Linked DNA regions of Astyanax mexicanus. The protein of the gene in region 1 purifies or fractionates together with the protein of each later gene. This does not show direct contact. Links are inferred from orthologs where the notes say so. Each region holds a gene or a part of one and is shown on either strand. Other genes may lie near its edges.

Evidence for each region. The genes of interacting proteins can lie anywhere in the genome.
Region 2: the proteins of aar2 (region 1) and ecd purify together in Homo sapiens (affinity purification with mass spectrometry; 3 studies listed by BioGRID and IntAct, counting the BioPlex papers as one, with this or other methods). This does not show direct contact. The link is inferred for Astyanax mexicanus from reciprocal best matches to the Homo sapiens genes AAR2 and ECD.
Region 3: the proteins of aar2 (region 1) and ddx23 purify together in Homo sapiens (affinity purification with mass spectrometry; 3 studies listed by BioGRID and IntAct, counting the BioPlex papers as one, with this or other methods). This does not show direct contact. The link is inferred for Astyanax mexicanus from reciprocal best matches to the Homo sapiens genes AAR2 and DDX23.
Region 4: the proteins of aar2 (region 1) and tssc4 purify together in Homo sapiens (affinity purification with mass spectrometry; 3 studies listed by BioGRID and IntAct, counting the BioPlex papers as one, with this or other methods). This does not show direct contact. The link is inferred for Astyanax mexicanus from reciprocal best matches to the Homo sapiens genes AAR2 and TSSC4.

The regions. Positions count from the first base shown.
Region 1 is NC_064420.1:47,567,090-47,574,432, forward strand, and holds the start of aar2 (protein AAR2 homolog), read left to right. Parts: upstream 1-4,334; 5' UTR 4,335-4,357; coding exon 4,358-4,439; intron 4,440-5,676; coding exon 5,677-6,447; intron 6,448-7,343. UniProt on the Homo sapiens protein: Component of the U5 snRNP complex that is required for spliceosome assembly and for pre-mRNA splicing.
Region 2 is NC_064421.1:32,506,655-32,513,717, forward strand, and holds the start of ecd (protein ecdysoneless homolog), read right to left. Parts: upstream 3,009-7,063; 5' UTR 2,903-3,008; intron 1,776-2,902; 5' UTR 1,750-1,775; coding exon 1,554-1,749; intron 1,204-1,553; coding exon 998-1,203; intron 1-997. Other genes in the region: thumpd2 (THUMP domain-containing protein 2), read left to right, coding at 3,700-3,804, 5,531-5,663, 6,787-7,025. UniProt on the Homo sapiens protein: Regulator of p53/TP53 stability and function. Inhibits MDM2-mediated degradation of p53/TP53 possibly by cooperating in part with TXNIP. May be involved transcriptional regulation. In vitro has intrinsic transactivation activity enhanced by EP300.
Region 3 is NC_064420.1:16,722,098-16,729,444, forward strand, and holds the start of ddx23 (probable ATP-dependent RNA helicase DDX23), read right to left. Parts: upstream 3,009-7,347; 5' UTR 2,879-3,008; intron 1-2,878. Other genes in the region: birc7 (baculoviral IAP repeat-containing protein 7), read left to right, coding at 4,952-5,525. UniProt on the Homo sapiens protein: Involved in pre-mRNA splicing and its phosphorylated form (by SRPK2) is required for spliceosomal B complex formation.
Region 4 is NC_064430.1:8,175,761-8,182,717, reverse strand, and holds the start of tssc4 (protein TSSC4), read right to left. Parts: upstream 3,009-6,957; 5' UTR 2,908-3,008; intron 150-2,907; exon of another isoform or gene 148-149; 5' UTR 95-147; coding exon 21-94; exon of another isoform or gene 4-20; intron 1-3. Other genes in the region: anoctamin-5, read left to right, coding at 6,451-6,526. UniProt on the Homo sapiens protein: Protein associated with the U5 snRNP, during its maturation and its post-splicing recycling and which is required for spliceosomal tri-snRNP complex assembly in the nucleus.

The DNA.
Region 1 (7,343 bases):
GACAGACACAGCGACAGACAGATAGAGAGACGCACAGACAGAGACGCACAGACAGAGACAGACAGACAGACAGAAATGTGCAGGTTAGTGAGTAGTGGTGAGGTGGTGGTGATCAGGACTCACGGCGGTGAGGATGCTGCAGCCCCAGATGAAGGAGAACAGGTAGAACGCTGCCAGCTGACCCGACTCATTAAACTTACTGTGCTTCGTTTTAGACAAGTGCAGCCGCCGGTTAATCTTCTGCACAGAGAGAGACCAAAACAAACAACATCACATCACAACAAACAACATCACAATAAACAACCACGTTACAAACATCTACACATTAAACACTGCTGGAGTTCAGATACACATCATAACATCTTAACCATGACTCTCCAAACCATCACTGATCATCAGTACATTTTACATTTCGAGTCTGGAGGAAGAGTGGAGAGACACACAGTCCAAACTGCTCGAGGTCTAGTGTGAAGTTTCCACCAATCAGTGATGGTTTGGAGAGACATGTCATCTGCTGGTGTTGATCCACTGTGTTTTATTATCAAGTCTAAAGTCAGTGCAGTTTTGTTTTCCCACAAAATCTTACAGCACTTCATATCTTACAGCTTCCCTCTGCTACTGACAACTTTTATAGAGATGTGGATTTCATTTTCCAGCAGGACTTGGCACACTGCAGAAAGTACCAATTGGTCTTATATATAATATTCTAATTTTCTGAGACACTGATTTTTGGGTTTTCATTGGCTGTAAGCCACAATCATCAACAATAAAAGAAATAAACACTTAAAACAGATCATTTTGTGTTTACTACATCTATATAATATATGAGTTTCACATTTTAAACTAAATTATTAAAATAAATTAACTTTTCAATGATATTCTAATTTTCTGAGATGCACCTGTTTCAACAGATATTAAGGAAACATGCTGAGTTTAAAGCACTATCAGCTTCAGTCAGTAGAGCTAAAGCCAGTATAGTAGTATGTTATGGAAATCTGTGTGTGATTGAGCTTTAGAATCTACAAATCTACCACAACATATAAGTGCAGCTTATTTAGTGCATGTTTATACCTTTAAATTCAGACGATTAAGTAAATACACGACATAATAAAACAAAGATAAAATAAACTGCTTTCAAAAATAGCAAAAATATATTTTTTTTCTATAGTGTAACATGCCAATATTATTATGTATTTTCTTGTGATATATATATTAGTATAGTATCGCAAAATCACAGTATCATGATTTCATTATTATGGTGAGCACCTGTGATTTCCAGGGTTTTTCACACAATTTACACACTATTTTTAAATTAAGCCTCAAATGGCCATAAGATTGGCTTAATAAAATATACACTGACTTAAAACCTCTGCATTAAAGTAAATTTGTTGCATATAAATAACAATTAATAATTTGACAAAGCAGTGCTATCACGTTTTTAAAGATTTTTTGACACAATGTATATCTGGCAGTTGTTCTTCTACAAAACAATTATAATAATAATGTAATTTTTCCATTAATCAAACAATAATTGTCCATTTATCTCTTCTTCTACATGTCAGAAAGCTTTACATATTCAAACACACAGAGAACCCAACCCATCACTTACGTCCAGCACGTATTCCTGGATCAGGGCGTGGAGGATGATGGCGATGAGCAGGTAGAAGAAGACCGTGGCGATGTCCTTCGGTCCGTACTGGTAAAAGTTCACCGGCTCAGGCTTCTCTTCTAAATTAACAATAAACATAGGAGCAAAATGCAGATTTTGCCCAAGACCAAACCAAAGCTGAATGAAGGCTCAGCCAAGATTGACCCAAGCCTTATCCAAGATTAAGCCAAAAAAAAAACAAGGCTCAACCAAGGCTCAACCAAAACTGATCCGAGAATGAACCAAGGTTCAACCATGGCTCAACCATTACTGGTAAAACAAGACTGAACCAAGACTCAAATCATGACTAAATCCAACAGACAGACTCCACCAAGGTTAAACTGAGACTAAACCAAGGCTCAACCAAGAATAAACCAATGCTCAACCAAAGCTAAACTAAGGCTCAACCAAAGCTAAACCAAGGCTCAATCAAGAATGAACCAAGGCTCAATCAAGAATGAACCAAGGCTCAACTAAGGCTCAATCAAGGCTGAACCAAGAATGAACCGAATAGTAATCAAGGCTCAACTAAGAATGAACCAAGGCTCAACCAAAAATGAACCAAAGCTAAGCCAAGGCTCATCCAAGAATGAACCAAGGCTCAACTAAGGCTCAATTAAGGCTCAACCAAGAATGAAACAAGGTTTACGCAAGCCTCAACCAAGACTGAACCGAGTAGTAATCAAGGCTCAACTAGGAATGAACCAAGGCTCAACCAAAAATGAACCAAAGCTAAGCCAAGACTCATCCAAGAATGAACCATGGCTCAACTAAGGCTCAATCAAGGCTCAACCTATAATGAAACAAGATTTACGCAAACCTCAACCAAGACTGAACCGAAAAGTAATCAAGGCTCAATCAAGCCTCAAACCTGACTAAATCAAAAATGAAAAAGGTTCAACCAAGAATTAACCAAGTATAAATCAAGGCTCAACCATAAATTAACCTAAAATGAAAGAAGGCTATAGACCCACCTGATGTTTGAGTGACATTGTACTGGACAGTGATGAACATGATGGCAAACTTTGCCGTTACCTGAAATCAAAAAGCAAATCTTAACGACTACAGAAATACAATACAAACAGAAAAATATTTGAAAATTAAAGAAAAGATTTGGCATCAATTTTATGAAATGGGTCTAGGCTCTTATGGGTTAAAATTGATAAGCTTTCTACTGGTGGAATGGGCACTTATTTGTTTGTTGGGTAGATATGTCTAACTGTGCTATTCAAGAAGAAGGGATTCCAAGCAACCAATGAGAACACCCTGCAAAAATGCAGACCCTTTAAAGCTGTGTAACATAGCACTGAAAGAAATCCTTGTTATTTATGTTAGATCATGATTTTAACCTTAAAATATTTACAGTCATGTGTCCACAATAAGAAACAATCATGGATGAGCTGCTCTCTGAATTTATAAATAGGTCTGTGCTCTTATTGGTTAACATTAATAAGCTTTCTATTGGTGGAATGGGCACTAATTTGTTAGCTATTAAATTATAATCAGATAATTATCTGCCTAAATTATAATTGGGTATCAGTATTGAGGAATAGGTCTGGGCTCTGACTGGTTAATCAAGTGTTTAAATTAGGAGTTTTGCTCTGATTGGTTAATCAGTGGTTTAGCTCTGATTGGGTAATTAGGAGTTTAAATCAGGGATTTATATCTGAATGGTTAATAATGGTTTAAATCAGAGGTTTAGCTCTGATTGGTTAATTAGGGGTTCAAATGAGTGGTTTAAATGAGGGTTTTAGTATTGATTGGTTAATCAGGGGTTTAAAACAGGGGTTTAGTCTCAGTTTAACCGGTTTAAACCCGGATTAAAGCTCACCTCGAACATCAGCCCCAGCAGGATGATCATCGCCACACACGAAACCATATCGGCGTGATTCTGGATCACAAACTCGTGGCTCAGAACCGGGGGGCTCTTGTTCTTCTTTCTGAAGCCCATGCTGGAGCTGCGCGCGCGCGGTAATCCGGGTCAGAAGCTCAGGTGTGCGCAGGTAGAGGGTAATGCAGGTATTGAGCTGAGAGTGGGGGGGGGTAAGTTTGGAGGATCTGCTGCTGCTGCTTCTCCCAAAGCTAACACTACACCAGCTGCCGGAAACGTACAAAATAAAAGCCACTTCGCACAATAAAGGTCTCCGTACAAAATAAAAGTCCTTTACCGGAAAACGAATACATAAGAGGCGCTGTATAGAAGCATTAAAGAAAAATATTTGAATTAGTTTTTGTATTGGTTAGTTTCATTAAAACAAAAAAGAAAAATATGTATCGTAATGTAAACTTGCAGACTTGTATGCTTGTATATTAAAAAACTATTTCTCAATGTAATAATTTATTTCATATTTCATGTTTACAAGCATTTCTTTATTCATTTCATTATATAATACTGTCACAAAAATAAAAACTAAACTTTATTTACGTTGTTTAATAGACAGAATCGGTTATTGTTGATGCTCTGAATCTACATTTACAGTGCTTTTAGGTGAAAGTGGTTCCCACTAATAATTAATAATAATAATAATTATTATTATTAGAAGTAGTAGTAGTATTCTACACTGCAAGTCCACAGTACTGGCTATGAAATATGAAAATAGAATACAAACAGGAGATACATATTTTATATAAGTAATTTTTTTGTTCTGACTCTTATTTTGAAGTTTGTCGAGCTTTTGAACCGGAAGTTTTTAGTGTAGCTGGCGTTGTATGAACGGTGTGTGTTTGGATCTGTGTTTATTTACTGTATTTAATATTTCCTCTATTCTCTGCACTGCAGCAGTAAGTCCGGGTAAATCCGCTTATTAATTAAATCTGTTTCTATTTATTAGATAAATAAATGACTTTATTTTTTCAGCGCCGGTTAATATTTAACTATAATAATTCTACCACTCTCTTATAGATTACTGTAGATGTACATGTGTGTTCAGTTTAGAGAGAGATTTAGTTTATTAAAAGCTTTACTCACATGTATTTCGTATTATTTCACTGTGCTGGAGCTTTATTTAACTGTTCATCACTCATTAAAAGATGTATAGATGGATGGATGGATGAATAGATAGGTGGATGGGTAGATGCATGTGTGGATGAATAAATAGATGGATGAGTAGATAGATAGATGAATGAGTAGATGGATAGATTAATGGGTAGATTAATGGGTGGATGAATAGATGAATGAGTAGATGGATAGATTAATGGGTAGATGAATGGGTGAATGAATAGATGAATGGGTAGATGGATAGATGAATGGGTTGATGGATGGGTAGATGGATAAATAAATGGATGGTAGATGAATAAGTAGATAAATAAGTAGATGAATGGCTAGATGGATGGGTAGATGGATATATGAATGGGTGGATGAATAGATGAATGTTTAGATGGACGAGTAGATGAATGGATAGATGGATAAGTAGATGCATGGATGAATAGAGGAATGTTTAGATGGATAAGTATATGAATGGTCAAGTAGATGGATGGATGAAAGAATTGATTGATGGATGGCTAGATGGGGAATTGATAGATTGGTGGATAGATGGGTAGATGATGGATGGATACATAGATGGGTGGGTGAATGGATGGATGGTATATGTGTGGATCAGTTAATGGATAGATGGTAGATTATAGATGGATGGATGAATAGATGAGTCTATGATAGATTGGTGGATAGATAGATTGGATGCATGGATTGCTTAGTAGCACCGCAAGCATCGCCTGGTCCTTTTCCAGTGTTCCAATTAATATACCAGCAAATATCTGTTAAAAATATGTAGATGATGATTCTAAAAAAGTAAAAGTAATTATCGTCCAGCACCGATCTAAGTGTTTGATGTGGTGCAGTGGATAACACCACCTGCCTTTGAGCTACTATATGGGAGACTGAGGTTCAATTCCAGGTCTGGGTACAAGTCCTTGGGCAGGACTCCTAACAAAAGATTGGTCCACCTCTGTAATAGAAATAAACCTATAGGAATAAGTTGTTTTTTGTAATTATTATAAGATGTGCTTGAACTTCTGCTCTGTTTCTTCAGGAATGGCAGAAGCAGGAGCAGACATGGACCCTGAGGTGGCTCTAGGACTGTTTGAAGAAGGAGCTACGTTGGTTCTGCTGGGCGTTCCTGAAGGAACAGAGCTGGGTATCGACTACAAGAGCTGGCAGGTGGGTCCCCGGTTCCGCGGGGTGAAGATGATCCCCCCCGGGATGCACTTTCTCCACTACAGCTCTGTCAGCAGTGAAAGCTCTGGTGGGGAGGTGGGCCCCAGGAAGGGTCTCTTCCTCTTCCTGAAGCCCCGGGAGCTACTTCTGGCCCACTGGGACAAACAGGAGGAGGATCTGGACTTCTCCGACTCTGAGAATCCAGAAGACGTTGCTCGAGTGAAGGCGGGGCTTCGTGAGCTGGACTCGTACCTTGGGGCGTACCCCTACGACACGCTGAGGAAGTGGGTGTCTCTGACGGATAAGCTGAGTCAGGAGGTGGCCGTGGCCCTGCAGCCGCTCAGCGGGCGAGTCTGCGCCTTCAGCGACGTCGTTCCCGAGCTCCAGCTGAAGCTCACCAAAGACCGAGCCGAGCAGAACCTTCCCCGCAACGACACGCAGTGCCAGACCATGAAGGAGGGGCTGGACCGGCTCCCCAGGATGAAGCAGAGGGAGGGAACCGAGCTCCGGTTCTCACAGATCCCCAAACAGACGTATCCTCCGGGAGCCACGCCCGCTCAGATCACCCAGTGCAGCATGGACCTCAGCTACGCCCTCAACTGCCTGCTGGAGGACCATCATAAAGACCAGCCACTCAACGTTCTGGGTAGGAATAGCTGTTTTAACTAGTTCTGCTGTATGAATGTTTGGTAACACTTCCTATGAACCCTGTATTCATAATTGCATTATAAATGCATTCATAATGCATTATATGACATGCATAATACCTTATAATGACTGTAATAAGGCTGTATAATAACATAGGTACTAGTAAACTACAAGTATAAAGAAAGGGCTCACACTGCCTTATAATATCTGTATATAAGAACATCATACAATGTAGTGTTGTACCAAAATATACCATATGTGTTATAGTGCATTACAACACTACGTTGTAAAATGTTCTTATGAACAGATATTATAGGGTTGTAAGCCCTTTCTTCATAAACCCTTATACTTGTAGTTTATAATGTGTTATGAATGTTGCTGTAAGTACTTACAAGTTATTATACAGGCTTATAACAGTCATTAGAAGGTATTGTGCATGTCATACAATGCATTATGAATGCATTATGAATACAGGATTCATAAAAAGTGTTACCGAATGTGTTTATATTTTGGAATAAAGAGCGTGCAAACATCTCAAAGACAATGGGAGTTATAATTTTATGATAAAAAATAGACTTTAAAAAGTTCTTCACATGAATACATGCCTGTTAGGGATGCTCCAATGTGGGAATTCTGGGCAAATTCCAATATTCAATACTACACATGTAGTGTACCAGTCAAAAGTTTGCCATCATTTCCATTGTAATTGAATAGTGAAGTGATCTAGAATGTGAAGGAACACATAAGGGACTTAAAAGTGTTCAACAAACCAAAATAATTCAGATTGACGGTCATCTTTTTTCATTCATTTTAAAATGTTGTGCTCTGGTGATCCTGCTGTATTTAACAAAGACCAAGAACAAGAGGATCTTAACAGAAGGACACCTTTAAAGT
Region 2 (7,063 bases), on another chromosome or scaffold:
TTTCTCACAGTCATCTTACAACCACAAACTTAAATGTATTTTATTGAGATTTCAAGTGATGGACAAACAAAAAGTAGCATATAATTATGAAGTGTAATGACAATGATACATGGTTTTCAATTTTTTTTCCAAATAAAAATCTGTGTGATGTGCAAAAGTGCCTCCAGTTGTTTTTTCCAGGATTGCTGGTGTTTAGCTTCATCCATCCTGCTATCAACACTGATCAGCTTCCCTGTCCGCGCTGACGAAAAGCAACCCCACAGCATGAGGCTGACACCACCACGTTTCACAGTGGGAATGGTTTGTTTAGGGTGATGAGCAGTGTTACTTTTCCACAACGACAGTGCTTTGCATGTAGGCAAAGAAGTTTAACTTTGGTCTTTTCTGACCACAGTACCTTTTTCCACATGTTTGATGTGTTGCTACATGACATGTGGAAAAGTGCAAACAGCAATTCTTATCTCTTTCTTTCTACAATGATTTTGCTTTCCTTGTAGAATACCTTTTCCATATTAGGATGATTGATTGAATAGTGCTCCTTGGGTGCTCAAAGCTTGGGATATGTTTTTATAGCCTAACTCTTATTTTAAACTTCTCTCCAAGTTTACCTCTGACCTGTCTGGTTAGTCCCTTTATGATATTGTTTGTTCATTAGTGTTCTCTAACAAACCACTGAGGCCTTTAAAGAACAGGTGTTTTTTATACTGAGTCTAAATTACACACAGCTGGACTTAATTAACAAATTAAGTTACTTTTATTTAGGGGGTTTCAGAGCAGTACTTTTGCACATCAAAGATTTTATTTGAATTTTGAAAACCATGTATGAATCTCGTGTTCTGCTTTAACAATTATGTGCTACGTTGTTTTGGTGTATCAATTAAAATCTCAATAAAATACATTTAAGTGTGTGGTTGTAAGGTAGCAAAATGTGAAAGAGTTCAAGGGGTATGAATACTTGTGCAAACCACAGTAAACATAATACCTCCTCTATGCTTACCCTGTTCTCACTGCTGTCGGGGTCGAGCCATTTGGGCAGATGTTCGGCCGCCTCAATCAGCAGGAACTGGCCGTCATTGTCATGGACAGTGGCGGCTAGTTGACTGAAGGTGCGTGTAAGATGTTTGAGCAGGTAAACGATGAACCACTCGTCCTCAACGTTATCACCAAACTCTGTGCTGCCTCCCAAGTGTGCTGGGACTCCCCCTAAAAAACAGATTTAGCACTGTTTAATAAACAGACACATGGCAACTCTAATAAAACATGACATTAATTAGTGGATTGTGAAGTTCCTTTAGTCATAATGGGTACATCCTTGTGTACACTACTCTCAAAGTTCACTTCAAGAATACACAGTAGTATTACTGTAGAGCTGCAACATCGTCGATTTTTTAAATTTGCTGACTCCAAATGTCAGTGTTGACTAACCGATAATTTGTTAAAAAAAACAACAACAACAACAACAACAACAACAACAACAACAACAACAACAACAACAACAACAACAACAACAACAACAACAACAAGCATTTAAAACTCAGGCTGTAGGCTCCTACCTTTCTCTGGACGGTAGCTGAGGTTGAACGGCTGCTGCTGCCAAATGTACTGCACCAACAGAGGAGCAACTTCAGCCAGCAGGTCCTCCTGAAGCTTTAGGAGGGTCTGTTCACTGGCCGCAGAGTCTGGCTGGACTAGAAAGAGCCTATAGTGAACCACATCCTCAGGCACAGGCACTTTCTTAAGAGGGTCCATCACAGTGGTTGGTAGTGCTGAGCAATCTATCAAAATAAGACAGTAATCAGTAGGGGTGTCACGATTCTCTAAATACTCGATTCGATTTTATTTCCGATTTTCTTTTTTCTTTTTTAACAGCAGAGATGCCTATGCCAGTTTTAGATTAGTCTATGGTCATTCATTGGTTTGATTCATCAACTTTACAATATCTTATTTCAAAAGGTGGGCTCGATATAAGTGATACGAATTGATACAAGTGATCTGTAATACACCACATTAGGCACTAATGGTCAAATTTAAATAATTCAATTAAGATATATATGTAATGCCATCTAGTGGCTTTTTTGGTAGCAGCAGTGTGCACTATTAAAACAGCAATATGCAACATAATAATGCAACAAAAAATATATATAAAAAAAGGAACAGTCATGTACAAAATAATAGAACAATTAGAGCCTTAACAAACTGAACTCTATCCTGCTATAACAGTTAAGCATGAAAAATAAGACTTTAAGACTTTTTCGGTCCCTGAGAATGACAATTTTTCTTTAACAAAAGATATATTATTAACTTTATCTAAGAGAAAGATGCTCCTTAAGGTACCACAACTATTAACATATTTGAGGCTAGACAAAACAACTGTTATTTTTATATTTTCAATTTTTTTTTGAGGAGATGAGAATGTCCACATTCTCTGGAGAAATGGCTGCTCTTTTCTACCCTATTCTATCTGTTTAAATAGAACAGTTTATTTAGGAGTTATACGAATTGTACAATAACACTGCTAGATAAATGTAATGTAAGTTACATGTATATATTACCCAGACAGCAAAGTTAATTTTTCCATCGCTAATACACTGAAACAACATTGATCTCTAATGTCAGAATGTATTATTTTGTGCACATCGAGCAGTAACAGCATCTGTTCCAGCATCGCTTTTTTTAAAGAGAAAAATCTGAATAAACTTTATCAATAAACCTGATCATGTTCCTTTAGCAGTTAGCTAGTCATGCAGTAACGTTATTAGTTAACATCATAACTGATGACTCCAACAAGAAAAACCTGAGTATAAACTCGGTTCTAAAAGATACAGAGGCGTCTTAAAAGTTCGGACGTGTCTATAAAGTGAGCAGGATTCAAAACCGGCTGATTTAAGAAGCTTTCACTTACGCTACTGTTTATTACTTCACTCCATCAGACATGTAGAGCTCATCCAGAACGCAGGCTTGATGTTTTGCACATGCGCACAACACACAACCTAAAGCTACTCACCAGCTTAGAAAGAGTCCGGTGTCAAATTAAAAGTTCTTGCAAGCGCAAAGATAAAATTGTAAATGCAGCTCAGATGTACAGCTCTGGAAGAAAAATTAAATAATAAGAGACCATTTCAGTTTCTGAAACAGTTTATCTGATTTAGCTATTTAAGGTCTATTTTTGAGTAAAATTAACATTGTTGTTTTATTCCATAAACTACAGACAGTTCTCCCAAATTTCAAATAAAAATATTTATTGTCATTTATTTTCAGAAAATGAAAAATGGCTGAAATAACAACAAAAAAAAAAAACTTTCAGACCTCAAATAATGCAAAGAAAAAAAAAAGTTTATATCCATTACTCTCTTTCTATATTACTTTTTTTTATTTCTAAGATTTCACATGGCATCCACACTGAACCATCAGCACATCAACATCTTCTGATCTAAGGTGTGAATTTATGTTTGTGTCTGAATCTTCAATATATAAAATAAAGAAAATAAAGAAAAACATTAAATAAAAAGTTGTGTCCAAACGTTTGACTGGTACTGTATTCCTAACTAATGCTTTTATTTTGGCAGGTCGCCTAGTCTAACCCGGATGTTGTATGGTTCTGTATGTCCTGCAGAGCCCATGCGTTCTTGTTTACATCAGACAGATCCTTCAGACTGATTTAATCTGTATTAATTCAGTATATTTATTTGTGTAGAGCTGATGATGAGAGGGGCGGGGGTCTCGGCGGGGTATTACTGCACTGCAGGCGGCGGTATGGAGACCTTCCTGCTGGATGAAGTCAAAAACAAACTGAAAGCTACTGAGGTAACTTACAGAGTTCTCCCCACAGTCCTGATATAAAGTGAAGTTAAAACCGATTTAAATCGAATTAATGTAAAGTAGAGTTAAAACTGAGTTAAACTGAATTAAACTCCCCACACTCCAGATATAACGTGGAGTTAAAACTGATTTAACCCGAATTAATGTAAAGTGGAGTTAAAATTGAGTTAAAATGAATGAAACTCTGCACACTCCACATACAAAGTGAAGTTAAAACTGAGTTAAACTGAATTAGGCTCCACACTCCAGATATAAAGTGGAGTTAAACTGTATTAGGCTCCAAACTCCAGATATAAAGTGGAGTTAAACTGCATTAGGCTCCAAACTCCAGATATAAATTGGAGTTAAAACTGAGTTAAACTGAATTAAACTCTCCACACTCCAGATAGAAAATAGAGTTAAAACAAGGTTAAACTGAATTAAACTCCCCATACTCCAGATAGAAAGTGGAGTTAAAACTGAGTTAAACTCACCACACTAGATAGAAAGTGGAGTTAAATCTGAGTTCAACTAAATTAAACTCACCACAATACAGATAGAAAGTGGAGTTAAAACTGAGTTAAACTGAATTAAACTCACCACACTTCATATAGAAAGTGGAGTTAAAACTGAGTTAAACTGAATTAAACCCACCACACTCCAGATAGAAAGTGGAGTCATAATTGAGTTAAACTGAATTAAACTCACCACTCTCCAGATAGAAAGTGGAGTTAAAACTGAATTACACTCACCACACTCCAGATATAAAGTAAGGTTAGGCTGAATTAAACTCAGCACATTTCAAATAGGAAGTGGTGTTAAAACTGAATTAAACTCACCACACTCCAGATTTACAGTGGTGTTAAAACGAGTTAAACCGCATTAAGCTCACCACAGTTCAAACCTTTAAAGTCCTTGCCACCGTACACTACTCACTGTCCACTTTATTATAAACACATAGCTACAGTTTTTACAGCTGTGTATTACTGGAAAGCAAAAAACTGTAATCAGCATTGTGTTATTACATTAGCATGATGTTATGTAATAATTAGGGGTGGGTGATATGATTATAAAATAATGTCAATATTTATTATTACAAAATATATATTATTTCAAGAACATACTACTGCAACAAAATTAATATATTTTTTTATTTGGTGATATTATTGCTTAGATTGCAGTTCCACAAGCTTTTGGCTAAGTGTTGGAGTCCAAAAACATTTGGCTGAATGGCGGAATGCAAATGCATTTAGCTAATAGTGTCCACAAACTTTTAGCTAAAATGAAGAGTGGCTAAACTTCTGCCCAAAAGACTGTTGGATAGTTTTATGAATATAAATCATAAAACTATAAATCATAAGCATATATGCTTGGTTCTACAACTCTGCTGAAATGTGTTTTTGTAGCTTAAAAATTGTGGGCTGTAGTTAGGTTACAAATTTCTGGTTGAAATTAAATTTACACATTTCAGGGCTTTTTTTTATGGGAGTTTGGGCCACAATGTTATGAGACTACAGCTTGTTATTATGATACTGCTGTTGCAATTATGATTATACATTTTTGTAATTATGACACAATGTTTTGTAATTATAAGAAAATACTTATTTATTAAAATATATCACTAAAACGGCATGTGGTGTGACAGAATAAGAGAGAATATGATATTTAGTAAACTGTTTAAACCATCGTTATTCTGATAAATGAACCTTTTACTTGTGTGTCTGTGTGTTAGGTGGAGCATATCCCTGGCCGAGTGTTTTTCCGCTGCACTTCAACTCTACAGCAATTGATGTTATTAAAATCTGCAGAGAGGCTCTTCCTGCTGCTGCGCAAGGCTCCTCCCATTACCCTGCCCAAAAATCCAGGTGTGCTGCTCGCATCATACAGGTGTGCAACAAACTTAAATGCGCAAGATTTGTAGTTACTTCTTATTAGAAATTAGAATATTATATAAGACTTAATTACTACTTTTGGCAGTGTGGGCTTTGTGGCAATTCCTGCTGGAAAATAAAATTTGCATATTTGTAAAAGTTGTCAGCAGAGGGAAGCATGAAGTGCTGTAAGATTTTTGGGGAAAACACTGCAGTGACTTTAGACTTGATAAAACACAGTGGATCAACACCAGCAGATGACATGACTCTCTAAACCATCACTGATCATCAGTTAATTTTACATTTCATTTGGAAATCATGGAACCAGAGTCTGGAGGAAGAGTGGAGAGACACACAGTCCAAACTGCTCGAGGTCTAGTGTGAAGTTTCCACAATCAGTGATGGTTTGAAGAGTCATGTCATCTTCTGGTTTTGGTACTCTCTGTTATATCAAGTCTAAAGTCAGTGCAGTGTTTTCCTAAAAAATATTACAGCACTTCATGCTTCCCTCTGCTGATAACTTTTATGGAGATGCAGATTTCATTTTCCAGCAGGACTTGGCACACTTCCCACACTGCCAAAAGTACCAATTGGTCTTATATACATATTCTAATTTTCTGAGACTCTGACTGACATCAACAATAAAATAAATGAACGCTTAAAATAGATCACTCTGTGTGTAATACATCTATATATATATATATATATATATAACTGAATTAATGAAATAAAGTAACTTTTCAACAATATTCTTTCCAATACAATACAGAACATCTGTGTTACTGAAAAGGGTAAAATATGGATTTATTGGTGTCAGATTCACAACACAAACGCTTACTGCAACTTTTCCGTTTATTGCATTAATATTATTCCAGTGTTGTAAAATAGCCACAAACTGCCATAAATAAATTTAAAACACAACTACACTACTGTAAACTGTAAGCTGTGTAACATAAGCTTACAGGAGAAAAAAATTAAAACCAAAATACATTAATTCAGTATTTAATGGCATATATTGATAATGAAAACTATACAATATATTGCTGTATCGATACATTCTCACACCTATATTAGGTCAATCACAAGTATGTCTTACTCTTGAAAATTCTTTCTTCAGCGAAAGCAGCGGACGTAATAAAACAGAGCATTGTGGGAAATCGAGATGTTTGGAGCCACACCCTCAAGTCCTGGACCTCCCTGCAGGCGGAGCTTAATGGCCCTCAGGGGCGGGGTCAGAAAAGAAAGAGGGATGAAGGAGAGAAGGAGGAGAACAGCAGTGAGAGTGGTCAGAGTCGCCCCACCTTCAGAGTCAGCTGCCGCTGCAGTGGAGCCATCGCTCGCTGCTACAACTCCCAGGTGTGTGTGTGGGGGAGGACATACAGAATTTATATACA
Region 3 (7,347 bases), about 31 Mb from region 1:
ATATTTAAAGCAGATTATAGTCAATCCTTTATGGTCCATCTCTGGAGTGCAAGTAAACAATGATTTCTGTTCAAATGTTTTTGGTCGAAAAAAAAAAAAAATATATATATACATATATATATATATATATATACATACATATATATATATATACATATATATATGTATGTATGTATATATATATATATATATATATATATATATATATATATATATATATATATTTTTTTTTTTTTTTTTTTTCCCCTCCACCTAATTCACGTTCCACCCATGGGAGCACCACATGAGAGCATCAGTAATGCGGATCTTTTCCACCTGATTCTGATCCTATGAAAATGACGTGACCGGCCCCGAATCACAATTACATTTACGGATCGAGGCATCCCTAGTGTTTTTGTCTGTCTTTTTTTTATGTATTGATTAGATTGAAGCATTTAGAAGTAGACTGCAGCCCTTATGGTGTTTAAAATGGTGTTTAAAACACAATCTACAATCCACTATTAAAACATTCAGTGGCGTAAAATAACTGTTTACCCCATAAAAATTTATTTTGTTTTTGCATTTTTGTGTCATACTTAAATTTTTCAGATCATCAAATAAACTTTAAAGGTCACCTTCCGCGAAAATCCGATTTTTCTTGTTTTTTGTGGAATACAGTAGGTCTCTCCGAGTTGAATGTGTACACCTGCACATTAAACTGTTTTGCAGCCCCCATTGTCTGCAGGAGCTAAGCAAAGAAATCCCCCCTCCCCCCCTCCGAAAAACGGGTGAATTTTGAATTATCTTTCTGCCTACGTAGGCAGAAACTCACAGACCAGCCCACCTTGGCTCGAGAAACTCCCAGAGGCGGAGCTGAAGCGACGCAACATCACAGCTCATCAGTTAGGAGGTGGGAGGCAGTGAGCGGCAGAGCGGTGGAGGGGCGTCGCAGTGCTCCTAGCCAATCAGAGGAGAGATATTTGCATGCTGTTTGCATGTATGAATATTCATGAGCAAAGCTGGAATCCGGTCATTTTGGACACACCCCTAAAACAGTCCATTAAAAAAGAGCTATACAGAGACACCTGAGCACTTTTTTTTTACAAAAACGGCTCACATGTCATTCATTCATACTAGAGACCACAACTAGACATTTTAAAATGAAAGAAAAAAACGACGGAAGGTGAGCTTTAATATCAGACAAATATAACTTACGTAAATATAAAAAGCACTTTTTAAAATAGTGATTTCATTTATTAAGGGAAAATAACTATCCAAACCAATCTAGCTCCCCATAAATCACATGGAAAGCTGTGTTCAATTTCACTAACCACAACCAGGCCTGAATACTACCAGACCTGTAGAATCAAAAAATCACTTAAATAGAACCTTTCTGATAACATGAAGCAGCTAAAAGATTAAATTAAATTAAATTATTTTTTTTTATATTTACTACGGTTATATTTGCCTGATATTACAGTTTGTTTGATAATCTGAGTATTATCAGTACAACAAAAAAGCAAAACAAAAGAAATCTGCAAGGTTTCAACACTGGCCACACTACTACAATTGGCCGACACTGGCCACAGTTATGCTGGACAATATATCAATATTTCATCGTATTGTGATCTTGTGATTTTTTTTTATTGTATTGATAAAGAACTCTGACCCAAGTGTACATTTAATTAAAGAGAGTTTAAAAAATATGTTAAATCATGTGCAGCAAAAATGTTAACCTAAACAAATCATTGTACTAAATATTAAAGAGTATTTGAATACATTAATGTTTACATAGGATCTCCGGTGGATTTGGCGTTGTACAGAGACTCTAAGTCTGGGTAAGTGGCTTAACTACACTTAGCAGGGCATTACAGTAGAGTAACATATGACGTTACAAAGACTGTTTTTAGTGTAGAAATAACTTTATTTTAAAACATTTCTAACTGTTGTCTGCCTTACTGCCTCGCAGTGCTGGTCGCCAATCAGATGCGATATGTTTGCATGTATGACCTTTCATGAGCAAGAGCCAAAATCATATCTTTCCAGCCCCCACCCTCCACCTGACTAAAGCAGCGTTATACCTGATCACCAGAGCACTTTTTCACACAAAACAGCTCACAGGGCATTCATTTATACTAGAGACCACAACCACACATTTTAAAATTGATGCAAAAACGATGGAATGAGAGCTTTAAGAATCTGACATTCCCGGTTAATTTTGTCTGTGGACCAAAACACAATAAAGATAATAATATTTACAGGACATATAGCGTTAGCTTAGCTTACCTAACAGTAAATGATCTCCCATAACACTTCAACGTTAGGTTAACTGAGTTAGTAGCTACAGAGCTTGTTTTTCACCGGCCACTAAGCACACTTAACTTTGTGTAGTATTACTGGACCAAATGTAGCGTTAGTAACAATATTAACATTTACATTTAACGGAAAGAAAATGTTATTAATACGATAGTTATGTTACGTAACCGCTAGCGATAACTTTATCCGACACGAGTTTAAAACAGCATATCCTGACTTTACACTCATTATCAGCACGAACACTTAGATTAAGAGAAAACGGGTCACAGTTAACCAGGTAAACTCGGACAGACCCGACAGTAAAACGTGGTAATTCTATAATTTCTACAGAAATACAGGAATAATGTATTTATAATCGCGGTTTATCCGCCGTGGTAACGTTAGTTGGGTTACCGCTGCTCTGTTAGCTAAGCTAGTTAGCCTTAGCTAAGCTAGTTAGCGTTAGCTAAGCTGCACCGCTCGCGGGGAAACGCTGTAATTAATTGCACGGTCATTTTCACCACCTTTAAAACACGAGCAGTAACTCCACACAGAGCCCGCAGTTCCGACACTCGGTCAAACCGAGTTCAACTCAATAACTTACATTTCTGCTGAAGAAACAACACGCTTACGAACACCGTTCGTTTCACTGAGCCGCCATACTCTCCGACATCAACATGTGACGAACTTCCTGTAGAGGATCATGGGAAATGTAGTCCATCAAAGAAAGTTCTTCACTGGAACCTAAAGCAACAAAACATTTTAGTCTTCCAAATCTGTGTCTGTATAGCAATATAAAGCACACAAAGGGAATAAACACACTCCTACTTTACACCGAAATATCTTATTTTAATTATCAGTAGTCCTAACTTGTTAATATATATTTTTTTTCGAGATTTATCAGTACTTTTTGCACATTAGATACAGTTTTATTCGAAGTGAGGGTGGGTAGACCTCTGGGTAAATTGAATAATTATTTTAATAAATTGAATAATACAATTAAAAATATATATATTTTTTAAAGAGCAGGGTTATCCTTAGATGACATTGTGGGAATGACAGAGAATTCTCAGACATGTTTAGATAGCTTCATATTTTATGAAAATATCTAAATAAATAAAGTCCAATATATTATAAATAATAAAAAAATATATATATATATTTTTTATATAATATATTGGACTTTATTTATTTAGATATTTTCATAAAATATGAAGCTATCTAAACATGTCTGAGAATTCTCTGTCATTCCCACAATGTCATCTAAGGATAACCCTGCTCTTTAAAAAAAATAACTTAGACTTCAGTAATATCTTCATACTGTTTTGATAAAACAGGACTGGTACAGTATGATACTGGTTTTGGTAAAATAGTATCATACTGTTGTGGTAAAATATCACGGGAAGTAAAATCATTTTAGAAAATTAAAATAAACAGTCACTGTGAACAATTCAGCATGTCCCCAAATCCAGGTCAATCATGTTTTTATAAATTTAACAATTTAAAGCAATATTGTCCACCTTGTCACTGTCCTCCTTCATGTCACACTGTTGCCATAACAGGATGGACTCATGCATGACTGGAAATAAAACATTAAATAAAAAAAAAAGTGAAAAAGCTGAAAAACTTTTGTTAAACGGACAATATGTAGTTTTGTTTTTTGTAAAATACATGTCTACCATGTTTACCAAACATAACGACCTGTTGTGAGGGTGTAAGGCAGTTTTTTGACTTTTGTTGCAGCAAGTCATTAAACAGTACATTAAAGTAAATAGATATATAGGAAAATATTATATAATGTGTCTTCAAACACCATGACAGAGCAGTGTTAAATCAATGAAATATTAAATGAAACCGTGTTGACACATTATTTTCTTTAGAACACAGTAAAACATAATTTAAAGTAAAAAAAAGAAAGTAGAAAATGACTACATATTGTTCCTGTTGGTTTTGAGACAAAAAGACACAGTATTCTAATAATGACCCAGAAAGTAATGGAATGAGAAAGTATCCAAATTATTTAAAACTTTTTTATTTCTAACCAATTTAAGACAGCTTGTAACTGTTTTTGACCTTTTACCTTTTTATTTATTCTGTCCTTTTATTTATTTTATTTTCTGCTCTACCTTTGGGCCTTTTCATTTTTATTTATCTTATTTTCTGTTTTACCTTTGTATTTTATTTTAACCGTTTATTTTTTTATCATTTATTAGTGTTATTTTTTATGATTCTAATTAATCTATCTATCTATCTATCTATCTATCTATCTATCTATCTATCTATCTATCTATCTATCTATCTATCTATCTATCTATCTATCTATCTATCTATCTATGCCAAAACTTCTTCTCAAAAGTTTTTTAAACGTTTACCATTCCCCCTGACATCCCTGCCATATGTATACAAACAAACAAATCCGTACGTTTATTAATTAATAAAAATAAACTGTAGTGTGTGTGTGTGTGTGTGTGTTGTGTTTGAGTGTCTCTAGTAAACGTGTGCAGGGGCGCGTGTGTGTTATTGTGGTATTGTATGTGTGTGTGTGTGGTAGAGTGTGTGAGTGTTATACACTGTGTTGTGTGTGTGTTTGTTAGGGGGGGGATCTGTGTTGGTTCTGTTCTAGAACTCCGGATGGTGCCGCGCGCTCGCTCGGGTCACAGGCTGTGCTGTGTGATATATGGCCAGCGGGGGCTTCGGGCCGTACCTGAATGGTCCGTTATGGACCGGGAGCGGAATGAGCGGCACGGAGGATCAGCATGGCGGCGGGGAACTGAGCCCCGTACTAAGCCCCGGACTGAGCCCCGGGATGCACAGCGAGGAGGAGCGGCTCCGCAGCTTCGAGCACTGGGCCACGGACTCCCCGGTCAGCCCGGCGGACCTCGCCCGGGCCGGCTTCTACTTTCTGGGCTACGGGGACACGGTGCAGTGCTTCTGCTGCGACGGCGTGCTGCGGTGCTGGGTCAGCGGGGACGAGCCGCTCAGAGAACACAAGCGACACTTCCCGACCTGCGGCTTCATACTGGGGCGGAGCGTGGGGAACATCCCCCGGCCCCCCGGCTCTCCGGACTCGGTGGACGGGCAGCTGCTCAGCCAGCTCCAGAGGATGGGGGTGGACGAGCAGGTCTCCGTCGGACAGGCCGTGTACCCGGAGATGGAGGCCGAGGACACCCGGCTCACCACCTTTCAAAACTGGCCGCCGGGGGCCTCAGTCCAGCCGGACACTCTGGCGCAGGCGGGCTTCTTCTACACAGGTCCGTATATCCACCACCAGCACCACCACCGTATAGAGCTGCTCCGAGTCAGACTCAGCGTTATTACTATATTATACTTCATACTACAGACATCCTGCTGTATTATAGAGCTGTCTGACCCACAAACATGAGGATGTGCTTTTAGAGAAACTTTTACTGAGCTATGTTTCGTTTCGTGATTTTAGGCTTCCATCCTTTTTTTACTCGTGATTGAACCGATTCACTTCATAAGAGTCAAAACTCTCCATAAGATTCTGGTAAAATTCTAATAAATAACTTACAAAATACTATAAATACTATAATAAAAATAGATTTTTGGGAATTGCAAGGATGATTAGTTAGTATAATTAGTTAGTAAAGGTACAGTTATTGTTTGTGTAAAATATTATTTATTATTTTTTTTTAAATTATAAAAAAAGAATTGCGCTCATTAAGTCAAAATGGTCAGCAAATATAATTCCTTATTTTTTACCAAAACATTTAAAGAGAAATTCAGTTTGACTAAAAAACAAAATTTGATTCACTTCATTAGAGTCAAAGTCCTCAGAAGATTAGCGATTCTAGTAAACTTCCAATAACTCAATAACATCAATAACTCAAACAGTCTAAAACAATAATACAACATATTAAAACAATCTGAAATATTTTAGAAATGTATTAATTTTTGGGGATTCCAAATTTGACACATAGTTAGTAAAATACAGGCATCTTTTTGTTTAAGTTTATAGTACATTTTAATATTTGGCATCACTAAGTCATAAAATGGTCATCAAATTAAATGCCTTTTTAATTTTACACTTTATAACAGACACATATTGTTTTATTACTAAAACATATAAGAAAATTTGTTCGACTAAAAAATAAATGTTGTTTTGTGTAAATAATATTTCATTATTTACAATAAAGTGACATTTACATATCAAAACCAATCTGCCCTGTAAACAGCTTTATCAGAAAAAAAAAAAATTAAATAGATTTTTCCGAAAAACTTAAAAATAACAATATAATAAATACATAAATGTTATTATTTTCTGAGTGTTTTAGTGCACACAGAACAATTAAAAGTAAGGGTCATCAGAATCAGAGTCATATAGAGAGGATGATGTCAGCGTATCAGACTTGTGGTTCAATCGGTCCGTTTAAAAGAGTCGATTCTGCAGGATGAATCTCCGCCCACCAGCACTCAGAGTGAAACTGGGCTTTGAGGCGAGTTCTCCTTTTGTTTTCGTTGCCACGTGGTCATGTGAGCAGAATGCTCGAGACCTCGCGAGCTATGCCTCCACTTTGTGGCTCTGTTTCATCCTGGTAAAGCTGCACTATAGAAACACAAGGCAGAGTTTACTGTAGAAATGTGATAAATGTGATAAACTAAGAGAGATAGAGTATAGTGTATAAGTTTATACAGCGTCTGTACCAAATTAAGAAAAATATTACTGAACAGTAAACTTGATAGTGTTAAATTAACCTTAACCGAGTTAAATTTAACACTGCCCTGGATAACATATGGTCCCACAGTGTATTTTAGAGTAAATTCAACACTGTATAGGGTCTCTATGTAAATCAGCTCTATGTAACAATAATTATTGTTAATAAATTTTAGTCCACAAACTATCAAAAGTGCTAATTATAAAATAAGATTATATTATGTTACCTATGTCAGAAAAAACCTATTTGTCCTAAACAAGCTTTGTTTATAACAGGAGAGAATATGAATAACTGCTAAGTCAACAGCCTCCAACTTCCAACCCAACACAAAGAGAGTGAATAACGCTCCACCAGGGAAATCACAACTAAATTGGCAGAGGCTGATAAAAGCTAATAA
Region 4 (6,957 bases), on another chromosome or scaffold:
TACTGGGGTTGAAGACTCACAGATTCTGCGAGATTTCCTGCTCGGAAAAGATTATCACTTTCTGGGAAGAGCCATCGAGTCTCAGCACAGCCATAGTGTTGAGTTGTGAGCCAGTTCTTGGATGTGAGGATACGATGCAGACACTACCTAAGATATGAAGGTAACAAAAAAAAAAAAAAAAAAAAAAAACACATTTAAAGGATTAGTTAACCACTTTGAATAAAACCCCTAAAGTATCCAAGTAGTAAAATTATATTTAGAAACTAAAAAAAAAAAAAAAAGTTGAAAAATTGATTCTATCCTATGCCCGATACAGTGATATAGCCTTTCAGGATATTAACATAGACTCCTACCGGTGTTCTGCCGAGTTGTGCTACTCTGTGAAAAGGTGCTACCTTAGTTTATACTTATTTTTATATTAGGATAAAATACCAGAAAGGCACAGTTTTTTGAAAAGCTCCCAGCAGAAGTTTTGGTAGGATATTTGTAGGGCTGGACCCGAATATTCGGGTATTCGGATATTCGTTCGTTGAGTAGGTATTCGGTTTTTAATTTTGGTATTCGGATATTCGTTTTTTTTCTCCTTTCCAGAGTTCCACCTCACTCTAACCACTTCTGTTTTCGCGGGTCCCGTCAGAATATCTTGCGCGCGGGACAGAACTGAACTGTTATTGGCTGGAGCGGGAGTTTAATCCAGACGATGCGGGAGCAAATTAATAAATAGTTAAGAAAACTGTAATAATTGTAAAAAAAAAAAAAAACCTAAAGAAAACTCTCAACGCGCAGGATGGACCGACACACACACGCACACACCGATGGTGTTTGGACTGGGGTAAGGAACGGGACCGCACTATGTGGCGGGCGGGCGCGGGATTAAAAGAAGCAATTTTTTTGCGGAGCGGTAACGAGACAGAAACGCGGGAGCGTGGAAGAGTGGGTTTAAAAATCAGTCTCGCGCAGACCTCTATTATACATGATAAAAAAAAATGCAGGCTCTTCGAAACTGATTTATATAATAAAACGTAAGGGGTAATGTGGCAACAGTAGGGGCTAAATCGGTTACAAAAGCCTGGCCTACAAAAATGATGTCTGAACGAATTTCCTCTTATCTAATATAATTTAAAATGGTTTAAAAATATAAAATAATTTCTAAGCAAACGAAATATTTAATATTGAGCTTATAGCCCAAGTGCAAAAATACAAAATCAGTAATACGGCTATGCCCTGCACAATGCTTAAACCGAAATAGACCAAGTACAATAACGTCATTAACAATGACTTTCCTCTACTCTAATATAATTTAACATGGTTTAAAATATAAAATAATTTCTAAACAAACGAAATATTTAATATTGAGCTTATAGCCCAAGTGCAAAAATACAAAATCAGTAATATGCCCTGCACAATCCTTTAACCGAAATAGACCAAGTACAGTTTACAATGACTGTCCTCTAATATAATTACCAATGTTTAAGAATATAAAATACTTCCTGAACAAACGTTTTTTTTGTTTGTTTTTTTAAGCAAATAGCCTAAGTGTGAAAACACAAACAGCAATTTACTGGGCTGGCTTGCACAGCGGAGAAACCGTGCAGCAGCCTCCTAGCCTGCTTACGCAGCGGATAAGCCGCGTGTGGGGCAGCAGAAATTCCGGGATGAAAACACAAAGAAATCTGAGCTAAAAACACAGAAAAAATATGGGGGATAAAAACACCAAAAATCCGGGGTGAATATGTCTCGTCGGTCAGAGCAAATTGAACATTTTTCAGTGGATTAAAGGGGCCGTGATTTGCTTTTTTTTTATTTATTTTTTTTTACCTCTTTTTTTAAAAACGAATATTCGAATATTCGCTTCGAATCAGTGCCGAATATCCGGAGCTCAAAAAAACGCTATTCGGGCCAGCCCTAGATATTTGGAATGCCTGAAGGGAACAGTTAACAGGGAACAACAGTTTCTTTTTTTTGTTATTTATTTATTATTTCTGGTATTTTGTTAAAATACCAGAAAGGCACAGTTTTTTGAAAAGCTCCCAGCAGAAGTTTTGGTAGGATATTTGGAATGCCTGAAGGGAACAGTTAACAGGGAACAACAGTTTCTTTTTTTGTTATTTATTGTCTCATTATTACTTGTATGATTAACTTTATTAGCTTTATTATTAACTTTACACGTGTGTAACACTCTGGCAGCTGGTTCTGCTTATTAAATGCGACAAAGTAAAACAGATTTAACATAAAAACACAAAAAAAGAAAACTATTTTTAAAAATGTGGGCATACGCATGCGCAATGGTTGTAAGAAGCACAAATTGGTTGGTAGCACATCTCGACAGAACACCGGGAGCATTTTTTAATGTGGTGTTTTTTTTTTTGCCTGTTAATATTCACTTGGGTAGCACGGTTTATCAGGGTAGCACAACGCGACACAACACCAGCTCTTTCCTAGTCAACAAAAACATCTAAGTTAACGTTACTTGTAGTTATCACTACAGCTATATTAAGGCAAATCTGAGGAAAACATTAAATGGAATAGAAAAAGGTATACGCTTAGTCAATACAAACACACAAAAACACAATTAAAATGGACAAGAAATGTCTATATCTAGTATTTAACGGCAGTAGGTTAGTTATCTAACCTGCTAACCTCACTATCCTTCACAGCATGTAAGTTACTTAGTTATCTGACTAAGCTAGCTAAGTTAGCTATGCTGGAGGCTAACAGCTAAGCTAGCTGTATGTATATATATCGATTTCTGGTATAATTCAGACCACTAATCTATGTCTTTCCAACTGCCGGACAGAACCAAGATAGCAACTTTACTCAGAGAGCAATAACTCAGCTATATAAAGGAGTTTAATCCCAATATAAGACGTTACTTTCTCCCATATCTAGCTCAGCAGCTACGCTTACCTTTCCTTCTTCGTGTCTTCAGATCAACTCACAGTCGCGTACTGACCTCTACTGGCCCACAACAGACACACCTGTGCATCTCAAAAGAATTAAATATCACTGAAAAGTTACCTTATTTCAGTATAAACATGTAAAATACTAATAGATAGATAGATAGATAGATAGATAGATAGATAGATAGATAGATAGATAGATAGATAGATAGATAGATAGATAGATAGATAGATAAGACTCAGACAAATCAAAACACAGAAGAATAGAAATTATATAAGGCTATAAAAACCTAACTATACAAGGTAAGGATCTATCTGTAAAAGGAGCAGTGCAGAGTAAAGTGCAATGTGCAATGACATTGATTACGAAAGTGACTGATGTGACGTAGAAATATATATATGCATCCGTTAGAAGATAGTTCTAAAAAAGAAAAAAAGAATGTGAAAATGTGAATACTCAATCATGAGTAAAGTGTACTTGAATGTAAGTGAGGTTGGGGAAGTGTTAGTGTAAATAATTAAGTGGTTGAATAATGTCCATGTGGTGTGACTGGATTAAACTCAGTCGGCAGCAGCATCCCGTCCCCGATGAGAGGAGTTAAAGAGTCTGATGGCTCTCGGAACGAAGGATTTTCTAAGTCTGTCTGTTGTGCAGCTCTGTGACAGCAGTCTGCCACTGAACACACTCCTCTGCTTCATGATGGTGGTGTGAAGTGGGTAACTATCATTGTTCATGATAGAAAGCAGTTTATCCAAAGTCCTTCTCTCAGCTATTGTAACCAGAGAGTCCAGCTCCATTCCAACCACTGCCCCGGCCCTCCTGACTAGCTTGTCCAACCGTGATGCATCTCTCCTCTTCATGTTGCCTCCCCAGCACACCACAGCATAGAAGAGAATACTGGCCACGATTGATTGGTAGAACATCTACAGAAGCTTCTTACAGATGTTAAAGGATGTTAATATATTATATAGATGTATTACACACAGAGTGATCTATTTTAAGAGGTTATTTTTATTTTTGAAGATTATGGCTTATAGCCAATAAAAACCCATTAATCAGTGTCTCAGAAAATTTGAATATTATATAAGACTAATTTGTACTTTTGTCAGCTAGGAAAGTGTGCTGGAAGTCCTGCTGGAAAATGAAATCCCCATCTTCATAAAATGTACGATTTTCTGAGGGGAAAAAGGCACTGACTTTAGACCAACACTAGCAGATGAGATGTCTCTCCAAACCATCACAGATCATCAGTAATTTTTACATTTCATTTGTAAATGAAATGTAAAAGCGAGCAGATTCTGGAGGAAGAGGGGAGAGACACACAGTGCAAGCTGCTTGAGGTCTAGTGTGAAGTTTCCACCAATCAGTGATGGTTTGGAGAGACATGTCATCTGCTGGTGTTGATCCACTGTGTTTTATCAAGTCAAAAGACCTTTCTTATATAAGATATATATTTATAAAAAAGGGTCTCAGAAAAGATCTAGGACCATTTTTGCCATCACTACTGGTCGGTCGGTACAGGGAGCGCCTCTGTCATGTACTGCGGGTTTCTATGCAGCAGGGGGAGACACTGCCCGTTCTTCACAGTCACTGGAGCTGTTGTTTGCCAGCTGTTCCAGCTGTTTAGTGAGATATCATTCCTTTAAGTCTTCATTAAAGAAAAGCCCTAGGCTGCTTTAGATTTGAGAGGGGATGTGAGCAGATGTGATGCAGAGGCTATAATGCTAAAGTGCTAAAGGGATGTGATCTGCAAGAGCATGTGCTTTTAAATTATCTATCACAGCTGGGTCACATGGGGTATAGGCTTCTCCACTGGTACTGTAAACACACCTGCCTAATTATAAATGCACACTGGTGAAAAAAAGTATAGTTTTACTGTATTTTCTTTGTGTATTTGTCTGAATAAATCTCTATATAAGTGAAATATATTAATTATTATTATTATTTTATTATTATTATTTTTTTTTTTCAATTTGTAGACAACAAATTCAATGTACAAGACTAACTGTAAAATATAAAAATATATTCCAAGATAAAATGCAGGAACATTTTTTTTGCTTTACTGTGATTTGCATGGAGAGAGCTAGGGAATATATTACTGTTACAGTATGTTACAGTATTGTCATTGAAATTACAGCCCAAAAATTTGCAGTTCAGTTTACTGGTTTGGAAACGTGTTATTCTGCCATGTTTGGAAATGCATGAAAGCATAGGTTTCATAGATTTTACCAAATTGAATACCTCTGGAATATAATAAAGAGGAAGATGGATGATCACAAGCCATCACACCAAGCTGAACTGCTTAAATTTTTGCATCAGGAGTGGCATGGAGTTATTTAAAAGCAGTGTGTAAAACTGGTGGAGGAGAACATACTGTGGCGTGGAAGAGGAAGGAAGACCCGTGAGACTCATGCTGAACGCTCAACAGCTCCTTTATTGAACCGGCTTGCCACTCACTTACAGCCTTTAACAAGACTAGGAGAGCTAAAACCATTTTCCCACAGAACTCAAATAGCCCAAAGGCCACCAACCCAGCTGTGTGTCTCCCAGATGGCAGATCCAGAGTGGTGCCCACCCTCTCTGCATAACCCCTCCCAAGGGAGATGCCCCACCCCTGTCATCCTTGCACACAGGAGAACAGAACCATGCCTACAGGCAGCCACACACACAACCCAGAGCCGCCACAATACCATGCATTAAAACAGTGATTAAAACCAGGGTTATTTCATCAAATATTGATTTCTGAACTTTAAAACTTACAAAACTTTATGTAAACGAACTTGTTTTCTTTGCATTATTTGAGGCCAAATATGGCAAATAAATGCTTTAAATGACAATATTTTTCATTGGAATTTGGGAGAAATGTTGTCTGTAGTTTATAGAATAAAACAACAATGTTCATTTTACTTAGACACATATCAGAGAAACTGATTCAGAAACTGAAGAGTTTCTAATTTTTTCAGAGCTGTATATGTAATTATGTAGTAAACAGTAAAACTGAAAAGTGTTTGGCCTCCACAATCCCATGATCTTAACCTGATAAGCTGAGACGGAGATTTGGGATAAAAATACAATAGAGATCACAGCAATGTATGTTTTTTTATTAATGATAAAAGAAAATATACATTGTATTTTATTACATACAAATATAATAATATACAGATATTTGTTATGCATATTTTATTATTTTGTGTAAAATCTTTGGCACATAATTTAACCTTCCATACACACACCTCCTCATACACACACACCTCCTCATATTTACACACACACGTATGCCGACGTAAAGTAGCTCCCCCCACTCCTCAGCCACTCCCCTTTAAGGCCAACATCGCTCCCTATTCTTCTGTATGAGCCACAATCCGGTCGCTGCTCGATCTCAGGAGGATTTCCTGCGCACAGCTGGAGGAGCTTTCAGCAGCTTCAGCATGGACTGAATGGATTGTAGGAATCTTTAAGGACTATAGGGAGCGCGTTCAACCCTTTATCAACCAGGAGAAGCCCTGGATCCAGTAACCCTGCCTTTTATCAGAGGAATATTCAGTGAAAATGAAGAGAATAACGGGGAAAACCAAAGATGCCACTCTGATCGAGATGACCAACACGGCGGACGCGCATGTAGAAGGTAAACCCTGCTTTACCAAACACCCTTCTACATAATAATAAACCCCGGCTCTGATACACTGATTTACACCAGTCTGAGCGGAGAGAATGGACTGGCTCGTGTGAGAGAGACGCTTTGTGGTGAAAACAGACAGTCTCCTGTATTTATGACACGTTTAATTAGATTAAATGACCTCCTGTGGTTAGATTAAGCAATAGACTGGACTACAGTAAGGCTGGTTTTGGTTAGAAGCCCACTAAAACTAAGATAGAAAGCTAGCTAGCTAGATAGATAGATAGATAGCTTTAAATACCTTAAATACCTGTACATCGTGCTAGGCTAGCTCACAAGCTTAAACAGTGTCTGAAAGTTCAGTCTGTTAGTTTGTGGTTAAACTCTCTGGATAGGGGTTTCCTACCTTTTCATCTCATTGTTTTGAATGAAATGGCTTT